Linked DNA regions of Notamacropus eugenii. The protein of the gene in region 1 interacts with the protein of each later gene in a biochemical or structural test. Links are inferred from orthologs where the notes say so. Each region holds a gene or a part of one and is shown in the gene's direction. Other genes may lie near its edges. The genes, in order: SP1, PML and KLF10.

What was found.
Region 2: the proteins of SP1 (region 1) and PML form a complex in vitro, tested with the Homo sapiens proteins (2 studies listed by BioGRID, with this or other methods). The link is inferred for Notamacropus eugenii from reciprocal best matches to the Homo sapiens genes SP1 and PML.
Region 3: the proteins of SP1 (region 1) and KLF10 form a complex in vitro, tested with the Homo sapiens proteins (2 studies listed by BioGRID). The link is inferred for Notamacropus eugenii from reciprocal best matches to the Homo sapiens genes SP1 and KLF10.

Annotation. Positions count from the first base shown.
Region 1 is NC_092874.1:226,345,581-226,349,324, forward strand, and holds the start of SP1 (transcription factor Sp1), read left to right. Parts: upstream 1-1,516; 5' UTR 1,517-1,658; coding exon 1,659-1,665; intron 1,666-2,566; coding exon 2,567-2,703; intron 2,704-3,092; coding exon 3,093-3,744. UniProt on the Homo sapiens protein: Transcription factor that can activate or repress transcription in response to physiological and pathological stimuli.
Region 2 is NC_092872.1:242,512,511-242,516,254, reverse strand, and holds the start of PML (protein PML), read left to right. Parts: upstream 1-1,261; 5' UTR 1,262-1,337; coding exon 1,338-1,355; exon of another isoform or gene 1,356-1,368; intron 1,369-1,598; coding exon 1,599-1,723; intron 1,724-2,601; coding exon 2,602-2,833; intron 2,834-3,744.
Region 3 is NC_092875.1:148,185,517-148,189,260, forward strand, and holds the start of KLF10 (Krueppel-like factor 10), read left to right. Parts: upstream 1-826; 5' UTR 827-943; coding exon 944-1,336; intron 1,337-1,834; exon of another isoform or gene 1,835-2,106; coding exon of another isoform or gene 2,107-2,112; exon of another isoform or gene 2,113-2,132; coding exon of another isoform or gene 2,133-2,168; intron 2,169-3,663; coding exon 3,664-3,744.

The DNA of each region.
Region 1 (3,744 bases):
CGCCAGGCAGGCCCTAGGCCCTCTCCGGCTCGGGCCTTGGCCGCAGCCTCCTCATGGATCCCTTCTGCTGCTTCCGCAGGCCTCACCCAGACTGTCTGCTGGGACAGAACTACAGAAAAGGAGGAGAGCCTTCGGGGTGCCCCGGCAGCTTCACTGCCTCCCCTGGCAGACGGGGTTCCTGGGCTTCCCTGAACTGTCCCCGGCCTAAGGGAGGTCCTTGATGCTTCCCCCCCTTCCTTCTTTCCTCCCTCACATCCGTGTGCATTTTACTCATCTGAGTTAATCTGGTTTTCCCTCGTTCACAGTCTTATGACCTTCAATAACGTCGATGTACTTGGTGACCTTGCGTCCCCGATTTCCGGCATAGTTTGGATTGATTAGGGTGGAAGCCGGCGGAGGGGACTTCCCCAGGCCTTGTTCTGTGGAGGTACTCGATCTGAATTTGGTTCGATGGCGGGGGAAAGAGGGAGCCCCGCGTGCCCAGAGCCTAACCAGGGGTAAAGCTGGGGTAAGCAGAAAGGAGGACGGAACACGTGCCAGGAGCGACCTCCGGCTGCCCCTCCCCCTCCCTCCTTCCCTCCTCCCTTCCCCCCCCCCCCCCCCCCCGGAGGGCCAGGCGTGGGACGCGGCGAGGGGGTGGGGGTAGTTTCCCAGAGCTCCAGTCCCCGCACGGGCCAGGGCGGAGCAGGAGCAGGGCTAGGGGGACGGAGCGAGGAGGAGGAAGGGGGCGGGTGGGCTCCCCACACTCCGCCCCCGGAGGCTAGAGCCCCGCCGCCAGCTCGCTTAAGGCTCGTGAAGACGCCTAGGTAAAAAAACAACATGGCGGCAGAGGACTATTGGCACAACCCCCCATTCCCTCCCCAGTACAAGGCGCCACTGGCCAACGCCCATTGGCCAATTTAGGGCGGTGCCCGGCTAAATCTGTTTCCTCATTGGTGGAAGGGATTCAGGGGAGGCCGATTCCGCTCTCTCAAGCTCTGACTTCCCTCACAAAACTTATTTCGTGGTTTATTGGTTGTCCTGTCACGTCAATGTAAATTTAGTCCCGTCCGCTTCTAGGAATCTTCCAATGATGGCTTGCCCAGGCACCTTTCTGGTTTGTGATTGGTCACCTTCAGATAAATCCGCCCCGTGTGCGCAAACCTGTACTTTGCGGAGCCATGTCCAAAACTCTGATTGATCCTCCCTCTCGTCATTTCTACAAAAATCACCCAATCCTTGCGCCGTAGAGAGCCCGCCTGGTTGTTGATTGGCGAATTCACAAGTCCATCTTTAAAAGGACCCACCTCTCTCTTCGAGACCCATTTCTTATTGGTCTTTCGAAATGGAGGGCCGATCCTATGAGGCAAACGCCAGCCACGCAACGCCCTTCTGCACAGCGGGTACCGCCCTAGCGAGCCAATAATCCTTCCCATTGGTCGATCGATCCGCCTCTCTTCCGTAAGTCCCTCTTTTCCCCCTCCCTCATTGGGCGGGGCAGCGGCCGATGGGCGGGGCCTAGGCCGGGCTTGTGGCGCGCTGTTCCCTCCTCCTCACCCCCCCCTCCCTGTCCGGTCCAGGTTCGCTTGCCTCGTCAGCGTCCGCGTTCTCCCCGGGCCCCCCCTAACCCCCCCCGCTGCAGGACCCCCCCTCCCAGAGCTCGTGCCCGCGCTGCCACCATGAGCGGTAAGGATCCGTGCCCTCCACGCTGGGGGCTTGGAAGCGGGTGAGGGGGCGCGCGCGCGGGCCAACCGGGCGGTCCCCGCCGAGAGGGGGGGCGGGCGGGAGGCGGCGGCGGCGGCCTTGGTCCCGCCCGGGGCGGAGGGAAGGGGAAGGGACGAGGGAGGGAGCGAGCGAGAGCCGGGGCAGTGGCGGGGCCTCCGAGGGGGAGGGGGGATGGGCTGCCCGCCCCGGGGGAGGGGGCAACGCGGCCTCGCCCGCCCCCTGCCCGCCCCGGCCACGGGGGACGGGCCTCCCCCGGCCGCCGCCCGCCCGCCGGGCGGCTCGCCCGCCCCAGGCTCCTCCGGAGGGGGCGCCGGAGCCCCGCGGGCCCCGCCCGGGCCCTCCGCCTCCCGCCCGCCCGCCTTGGGGCCGCTGCCGCCGATGCCGCCGCCGCCGCCGCCGCTGCTGCCCCCGGCCTCCTCCCCCACCCCGCCGTGGATCCCCCCCACCCCTTCGGGGGGCCCCCCCACGGGCCCGCCCTCGTCCCGCCCATCCCTCCGAAACCGCCCTGGCCCCCCTCGGCCCGCCTCCTCTCCGCCCCCGAAACCGCCTTCTCTCCTTCGGCCCAGGGACCCCCACCCCATCCCCACCTCGGGCCGCCGCCCGGGCCCCCAACCCCTCTTGTCCCCCCATCCCCCGGAGGGCTCCCGGGCCCGGCTGCCATGCCCAGCATCCCGCCTCCCGCCTCCCCGGAGCACTGGCCCCTGCTCCCCGGCCGCCTCCTCGCGGCGTGCCCGGAGACCCCGCTGCCGCCCCGAGGCCGAGATGCCCGAGAAAGGGGCCCCCGCAGGCCAGCCCGGCTCGCCCCCCTCCGCCCCCCGCCCTCGCCGCCTCTGAACGTTGTGGCCTCTTTCATCTTCTCCAGACCAAGATCATTCCGTGGATGAGATGCCCGTTGTGGTGAAGATTGAGAAAGGCGTCGGCAGCAACGGGGGCGGCGGCTTTTCCCAGACCCGCAGCAGCAGCACCGGCAGCAGCAGCAGTGGAGGAGGCGGCGGGCAGGTGAGTGCGGCCCGGACCTTGGGCCTGGCAGCGGGCCTGGGTGCGCTTGGGCAGCGAGCGGACGGGAGCCTGCCACTGGGGCGTCCATTGAGCGGTTCGGGGCATTCTCTCAAGCGCTAGCACGTCTGGAGGCCAGGGCCTTGACACGGAGCGTGAGTGGTTCTGGCCTCAGATTGTGTTCCGTGGTAGTGCCTGAGAGACCCACGCCTTGGTGTGCTTCTTCAGACCGTTCTGGACCGCGCACTGGGTCCTTTTTGGACTTGCCTGACTCCTGTGATATGTTAGTGTTTATGTTTCATGTAGTAGACCGTATTTTGTCTTGTGTTCTTGGTGTTTGTGTGACTGACACGTGACACATCGATAATCTCCTTCCTTTCCTCTCTGACCAGGAGTCCCAGCCATCCCCACTGGCTTTGCTAGCAGCCACTTGCAGCAGAATCGAGTCACCCAATGAAAACAGCAACAACTCCCAGGGCCCAAGCCAGTCAGGGGGCTCAGGTGAGCTGGATCTCACAGCAGCCACACAACTCACCCAAGGTGCCAATGGTTGGCAGATCATCTCTTCCTCTGGGGCTACCCCTACCTCAAAGGATCAGGGTGGCAGCAATAGCAATGGTAGCAGTAGTAGTGAATCCTCCAAGAACCGCCCAGTTTCTGGTGGACAATATGTTGTTACCACCACCCCCAACATACAGAACCAGCAAGTTCTGACAGGACTTCCTGGAGTGATGCCTAACATTCAGTACCAAGTAATCCCCCAGTTCCAGACTGTAGATGGGCAACAGCTGCAGTTTGCCACTACTGGGGCCCAAGTGCAGCAAGATGGTTCTGGTCAAATTCAGATAATACCTGGGGCAAACCAGCAGATTATTACAAATAGAGGGAGTGGAGGCAATATCATCGCTGCTATGCCAAACCTGCTCCAGCAGGCTGTCCCCCTCCAAGGCTTGGCCAATAACGTCCTCTCGGGACAGACTCAGTATGTGGCCAATGTCCCAGTAGCACTGAATGGGAATATCACCCTGCTGCCTGTCAATAGTG
Region 2 (3,744 bases), on another chromosome or scaffold:
TTTCTGACATTTGAATTCTCAGTGCATGTCCATCAGAATTCCTTCTTGATTGTGGCCCTGGTTGTGAGGGGGGGTGGCACATTGGGTACTCTTCTTTCTCCCACTCTCTCTTTATCTGCACACTTTCTCCCTTAATTCCCATATGACAGATTTCACTTTTATTCCCAGAGCGTCTATAAAGGATTCTGGCATGAAAGTAAAATATGTTATTCTCCCCAAAGTCTTCCAAAGCTACCTAGCCATCCTCATGTCTTCCATACCATTTTTTATCCCTTCCTGCCAGTGTGACCTCTCTGAACTTCAGCATCCTCCAGCTCCTAGGCTGCTATGAACCTTCAGGAAGGTATTGTAGACCACCAACCTGTCTTGCACCAGTAATCTTTCTTCTTGGCTGCTTACTGGAAATCCAATATGAACCATTGACATTTATAAGCAGCCCCACTGACAAATATTTATTGAAAAAAAAAAAAAAAGAAATGTGAAGCCTTTTGTAAGTGATTAAGAACTTACTCTTACTCTTACAAACTCCTTAAAGGCTGAGATTATGTTATATTTATTTTTAGATCTCCCATAAATTCCCTAACATAGCATCTAGCACATAGTTGGAGTTCAGTAAACGCTTTCATTAGACCAGTCTGGGGGTGGGGAACTTGTGGAATCCATGGGATTCAGTCAAAGGGTCACACTTGGGGACTTGTGGGGCCACATGGAGGCCCTCAGCTTCGAAGGTTCTCCACCCCTGGACCAGTCCTTGGGGACTCACACTTTGGTTGAGGAGTCAAGAAATAACAGGATTAGAAAGCTACAGCTGAACTACGGTGTAGAATCCATCCATGTGCAACAGGAGGTAGCAAATCAGACATTCTAAGGGACCACCTAGTCCAATCTCCCCTTCAGGGAACTGGGGAAACTGAGGCATCTCAGAGAAATCAAAGGACTTGTCCAAAGTCACACGGATAATAAGCAGCAGAGAAGGGAATGTGAAGCCCCCCGCTTCCAAATTCAGCGATCTTTGGCTTGTACCGCCACGTTGCTTGGGATTTGGATACTGGAATTGGCAGACCAATGGTGGAGTCCAAGGTCTATCATTAACCTGCTGGGTGACCCTCCTGAAGTCGCTGAACCTTTCTTAAACATCCAGTTTCTCATCTGTAAATCGAGGGGGCTGGACTATCCTTCCGGCTCTTGAGATTGTGTGAAAGGGGTGGGGGTGAAGTGGGGGCGGGGCGGGAGTCCCTTCCGTCTCCTACATACTATGATTCAGAGATCAGCGTTGGCAGTGGTGGTCAGAGAAGGCTCCATCTTGAAGGTTGAGGAGGGGGAGCAGGCCTCGTTCAATGAGCACAAGTACAGAGGTGGTACAATTGAGTATGTGCAGAAGGAGAGGGGGGAAGAAGGAAAGGGGGGAAGAAGAAAAGGGAGGAAGGGAGAAGGGAGAGAAGAGGGAGGTGGATAGATGAAAAGACTGCAATTTAAGCAGGACCGTAATCCTTCTCTCTAGCCCCTCTCCCTTGTCTGTCTCAGCTCCCCAGCTTGACTGGGAGCTCCCGGCGGGCAGGGATCTGTCACCTCCTGAAGCTTTTTTCTTCTCTCCCCAGAACAGCACTCAGGGTGCGAAAGAGGGGGTCGGAGATCATTGTCATCCGGAACTGCATCCTGCACTGCCATCCTCCCAGGTCGGTCCAGTCCAAGGAGGCCAGATGTCCCAGAACGAGGAGTCAGGGTGAGGCTGCCCTTTGCTTCCCATCCCTCATCCCATCCCCTGCCTCCCCCAATTGTCAAGCCCCCCTCACCCCGCCCCCTGGCTTAGCCTCTCGGCTCAGACAGAGAAGGCAGGAGCATCTTGCAGGAACCCTGGGGGTCTCTGTTGCTTGACAACAGCTTCTGTTGCCGGCTCTCGGTACCCAGCTTGACCACGTAACCCTGCACCTTCCTCCCCTGTCCCCTTCGGGCAGCCCCGACTCCCGGGGCTCCTCCCTCAGCATCAGCATCAGCACCTGTCTCTGCCCTTGATCATTGTGAGCTGGAGGGACTGTGGGCTGCCTCCATCCCTAGGACTCAAGAAGGGTCAGGGACCTCCCTGGAGCCCACCCAGTGCAGGTGCCCCTGCAGTACCCACTGGACCAGACCCATCCCTCTCCGTTTCTTCTCCTTTTCGTCTTCCTTCTCATCTTCCTCCCCATCTTCCTCCCCACATTCCTCCTGTTTCCCCTTCTCTTCCTCCTCATCTTTTTTATTCCCATCCTCCTCTTCTTCCTTCCCTCCCCTCCTTTTTTCCTTCCTCCTCCCCTTCTCCTCTTATCTCTCTCTTCCTCTTTTATCTTCCCTTTCTCCTTTTTCTTTCCTTTCCCTGCCCTTTCCTCCTCTTTTTATCTTCCTCTCCTCCTCCCTTCTCCCTTTCCTCTTTTTCACTCCCTCTCCCTCCCGTCTCTCTTTCCTCCTCTTTTCTCCCTCCCTCACCCCCCCTTCTTCCCCTCGGTGTTCTAAAACGTCAGCCTCCAAGGTAGGCGGGCTCGCGGGGTGCTCCTCCCAGATGCCGGGCTCCCCCAATGCGCATCCCTCGCTGCCTCCCTCTGACCCTCTCCGCCCCGCTCCTTCCAGGTCACCTGCTGAGAATCGAAACTGTGAGGAGCTTTCCATGACTTCGGAGCGGGCCACCTCCACCAAGCCCGACCAGATGGCAGACCCTCCACCACCTTCGTCCCCTCCTCCTCCCATCCTGGTGTCGGTGGCCACGGCTTCCACCTGGACCTTCCCCAACGAGCCGGTGAGTCCTAGCCAGCCCGAAGCCAGCACCAGCGGCGGCACCAAAGCCCGCGCCAGCACCGAGGAGGTGAGGGCGGGGGCAGGTACCTGGGGCCAGGTAACTCACCTGAAGGGTGGGAACCTGGGAGACAAGAAGGAAGGGGTTCGCATTCATGAAGCACCTACTGTGTGCCGGGCGCTTTACAGAGAGCATTGCATTCTATAACAATAGTGACGATTGCTAGTGTACCTTCTATAGCCAGGCCTGTACTAAGGACTTTACAAATATTATCTCATTTAATAAGAATAAAAATAACCAGCTTGGGTATAGCTGTGTGCTACTGTGTGCCAGGCCCTGTGCTAAGAGCTTCACAAATATTTCAGTCGAGCCTCACAACCACCTAGGAGGCAGAAGCTATTATCAGCACCCCCATTTTACTGAGGCAGACCAAATGAAGTGACTTGCCCTAGGTCACTCAGCTAGTGATTATCTGAAGATCTGAACTGACAACAACAATTTGTACATAGAGCTTACTGTGTGCCAGGTACTGTGCTAAGTGCTTTACCGTTATAATTTCATGTAATTAAGAGTAATTGTCATCGCTAGCGTTTACATAGTGTCTATTATGTGCCAGGAGTCATACTTAGCCCTTGACAATTGTTATCTCATTTGTTCCACTCTGGTAGGTGCTGTTATCATCCCCACTTTACAGATGAAAAAACTGAGGCAAATAGGTGAAGTGACTTGCCCAGGATCCTGGTAGATATCCAAGGTAGAATTTTAACTCAGGTCTTCCTGACTCCATGGACTACTAGGTGATGCAGTGGATAGAGTGCTGGGATGGTATCCGGAAAACTCATCTTCCTGAGTTCAAATCTGACCTCAGACACTTACTAGCTGTGTGACCCTGGGCAAGTCACTTTACCCAGTTTGCCTCAGTTTCCTCATACGTCAAATGAACTGGAAGAGGAAATGGCCAACCACTCCAGTAACTTTGC
Region 3 (3,744 bases), on another chromosome or scaffold:
GCTGCCGGGCAGCCGCTGATCACGCGTGGTCCCCTGAGCCCATTGGCCGGCGCCTCACACACCTTTGCAGCTGATTGGACCAGCGCAGGCTCCGCCCCCGCCCCCTCCCTCGGCGCTAGGCAGGCTGAGCGGCTACCTGAATGGGGGGGGTGGACAGACGGCGAGGAGCGCTGGAGCGGCGGGAGCGGCAGCGCGTGTCTCTGGTAGCCCGTCACTAGCCAGCCATGCTCAACTTCGGGTCTTCCCTCCAGCAGCCTTCGGTGAGTTGTCCCAGTATCTCCCTGCAGCTACCATTTCTCCAGAGGGCCACGACCCCCCGGCTCCCTTACTCCTGGCATGCCTGAGCAGAGGAGCTGCTGGAGTCCCGGGCGGGGGGCTCGTCTTCTCGCCTCTTGGCTGACCAGACCGAGAGGACGTGGGGGATCGATAAGGGGGTGTCCGAGGAGAGGAAGGGTCTGGAGAGGCATTGGGATTCTGGGGCAGGTAGCTCTGATGAAGGATGGACGGAAGAAGGGGAGGGGGCTGCAGGGCCAGGACAGCGGGGAGGGTGGGGGCCGCTGGCTGGTCTGGCACCTGGAGGAGGGGAAGGCGTAGGGGCTGCCCGGTAGGTAACCGAAAAGGCGGGAGGGATGAAAGGAGAGGAGAGGGGTGCAGGGATGAGAAGAGCGGGAAGGATGGGGACAGAAAGGGTGAGGAGGGGAGGCGGCTGCCCCTGGGGACATTGAGGAAAGGGCGGGTAGGGAATGGGGAGGGGGGGCCGAGTTACTGATGCAGAGGGTCGAGTACAGGTGCACTGACGGGGGCGGTACGTCTGGGAAGAGAGGGCCCTAAATTTGGGGCAAATGGGGAGGTGGTACGCAAAGCAGGAGGTGGAGGGCTTTCCGCTTGGGGGGAAGGTTAAGGCTATATACGAGTTAAGTTTGGGGGGTCCTACTGGGGGCATATGAGGGAGCGGACGGGCAGGGGGCTGTTGCAGGACATTTGGAGCGGAGGACTAGCGGGGGCGGGAGCTGCGTTAAGCGAGGGCTGGAGGGCTCCGAGCGCGCCCAGTCCGGGAACAGGAGGGAGGACGGGAGCTGCCCTCCGCGGGGGTGCAGACAGGGGCGGGCTACTGCCCCGCAGGGTGTCGGAGCGCGAGAAAAGGGGTTGTGGGAGGGACGAGAGCGGGGCCGTGGGTGGCAGGGAGACACGCCGCGTGGGGGCCGAGCCCCGCTCAGTCTGGGAGCTGGGACGTCTCTGGGGGCCGCCCGTCTGGGAAACCGTGTCAGAAGGAGTGGCGGGGGCCGCGCCTCCCGGAAATGGCCGGGGAGGGGGAGCGTCCGTGGAGGGCTGCGAGGTGGTCTGAGGTCCCGGGGCGGGGGCGGGGAACGCTGGAGGAGGAGGGAGGAGGAGGGGGCGGGGGCGGGGGCGGGCGGAGCCCAGCCCAGCCCGGCCTCTATCTGAGCGCAGCCAGGCTGGGCGTGGGGGCCTCGGGGTCAGCGCTCGGGCCGGGGGGCGGGGCTGAGGCGCGCCGGGTCCCCCCGGACCGGCGGCTGAGGAGAGGCGGGGGGAGGGTTTCCGCGGCGGTGGCGGCTCCGGCCCCTCCCGGCCGCCCAGGCTGGAGGGGGCTGGGGGAAGGGAGTGGAGCCTCTCCTCGTCCCCGGGTGACCCAGCCCTTGCCTGTTGGGGCGGGGAGGGAGGCCCAGCCCCTCTGTCGGTTCCTAAGGGAACCGCGGCTGGCTGGAGGCAAGAAGAGGCGGGGGAGTCTCCTTCCCCCTAGGCGGGGGGGGGGGGGGGAGGAGGGTGCGGCGCGGTCCCCTCCCCCCTCCACCCCCAGTCCTCCGGCGCGGACTGCTGGGAGGTTGGCGGCTGCCTCCTGTCCCCTCCTCCCTCTCCCGCCCTGACGCGGGGGCGGGTTGGGCCCTGCGGTCTCGGGAAGTAGGTGAAAGGTGAACGCGCGGCAATTCCCAGTTCACGTTTCCTGCCAGCCCGGGAGCAGCCGGTGATCACGCTTTGTTCACATGCCTCCAGCCCCAACCCCCTCCTCGTATCGCTCCCGCCCCCTTCTTGGAGCTAGCCAATCCCGATCCACGCCGCCGGTCCGGACGGGCCAATGGCAGAGGAGGGATGCGGGTACGTGCGAGCAGTGAGGAATGTCCCGCCCTGAATCGCCCTGGAGCCTTTTTGAGGTTAGGGCGGCCCCCTCTGGTTGTTCTCGCCCGAGAGGATCTCCCCCGCTGTCTGCCAGCCCCCCCTTCGTTCTCCTCCCTCTGTCTGCCTCCCCTGCTTCCCCTTCCTGCCCCGCTCCCTTTCCTCCCCCTCCCTGTTCCTGTTCTCTCCCGGCCAGCTTTGGAGTTCCTGCCTCTGAAGCGGGTCTACCCGATGCTTGTCCTGACTTGGAGAAGCCTGGGTGGGATGGCACTAGGACCATCCTGTCTTTCAGGGTGGGTTTTTTCTTTTAAATTATTACTAGTTAAGCTCTTCAATACTGCACTTCAGCTTCGAAGAAATAACTATTTTTTACCACGGAGGGAAAAGTGGTTTTGAGTCCCTTAGGTCCCCCAACTCGTGCAAGGGAATACAGTATATTAGTATATGGAAAGTATGTATCTACCAACTGGTATTTAAACCCAACCAAACCTGAATAGCTGCGCGAGTTAATTAAAATATGAGAGCCAAGCTTTCGGTTATTCAGAGGCTGATTACTCACTTTAGCCAGGCGTTTGGTTTTTATATCTTGTAATGCTTGGTTTTTACTGCTGGGCCATAAAAGGAAAAGGTTGCAGGTGTGCAAAAAATAAAATAGTCTAACATGAAGCTTAGAGTTTTCTGAACATTACATTTGACCTCCACCACAGATAAAAAGAGCAAAAACTTTCGAGATCATCTAGTCTCCAAGATTTTAACAACCTTTTTTTGTGTGTCATGGACGGCCCCTTTCTTAGCATGTTTTTAAATAAGCATCAAATAAAATTAATAGGAATGCAAAGGGAAAGAATTCTATTGGAATATAATTTTTGAAATTCAAGTTCATGGACCCCAGTGTAAAAACTCCTGATATAGTCCAATCTCACCATTTTACATTAGAAAATAAAAGCCCAGAGTGACTTGTTCCAGTAGAGTTTGAGTCAAAATTAGAACCTAGGTCCCCTGAAGCCTCAGTGCTTGGTTCCAGTTATATCTCACTGCTTTTATAAGAAAAAGATAGGGTAATTTTTTTTCTCTGAGAAATTCATACTGCACAAAAGAGCTCACAGAATTTTTGCAGTCTTACAAATATCTTTTTACAAAAGGGGAACTTAATATATCATGCACACACCCTAAACTATCTTGTCCAAAGCTATTTAGCGTGTCATTTGGTTTCAGATCCACCTCTCTTGATTTACATGTAGTTAACACAAATGCAAATTTTATTTCTTGACCATTATATTAGTTAACATTTAGGCTTAAAACCTAAAAGGTTTTTTTGTTGCTACTAACACGAGTTTTCAGTCTCCTGAAGAACAGCCACTTTATTTTTGTCTTGTCTGTCATAATATGGAGGGAAAGAAAAAATAACTTTATTTTTTAATATCAAGTGGTGTTCGGGTAACTCAGGTGTTTTTTTCCTAAGTTATACTATAATTTAATTTACCATTTAATTGTTAAAAGATAGTGATAATTTCTGATTTTGTCTTTTTGTAGGCCGAAAGAATAGAAATGATTTTTGAAAAACCAAGAGAAGGTAGATGTTCCTGGAACAATACTACAGAGAAAAGTGATTAT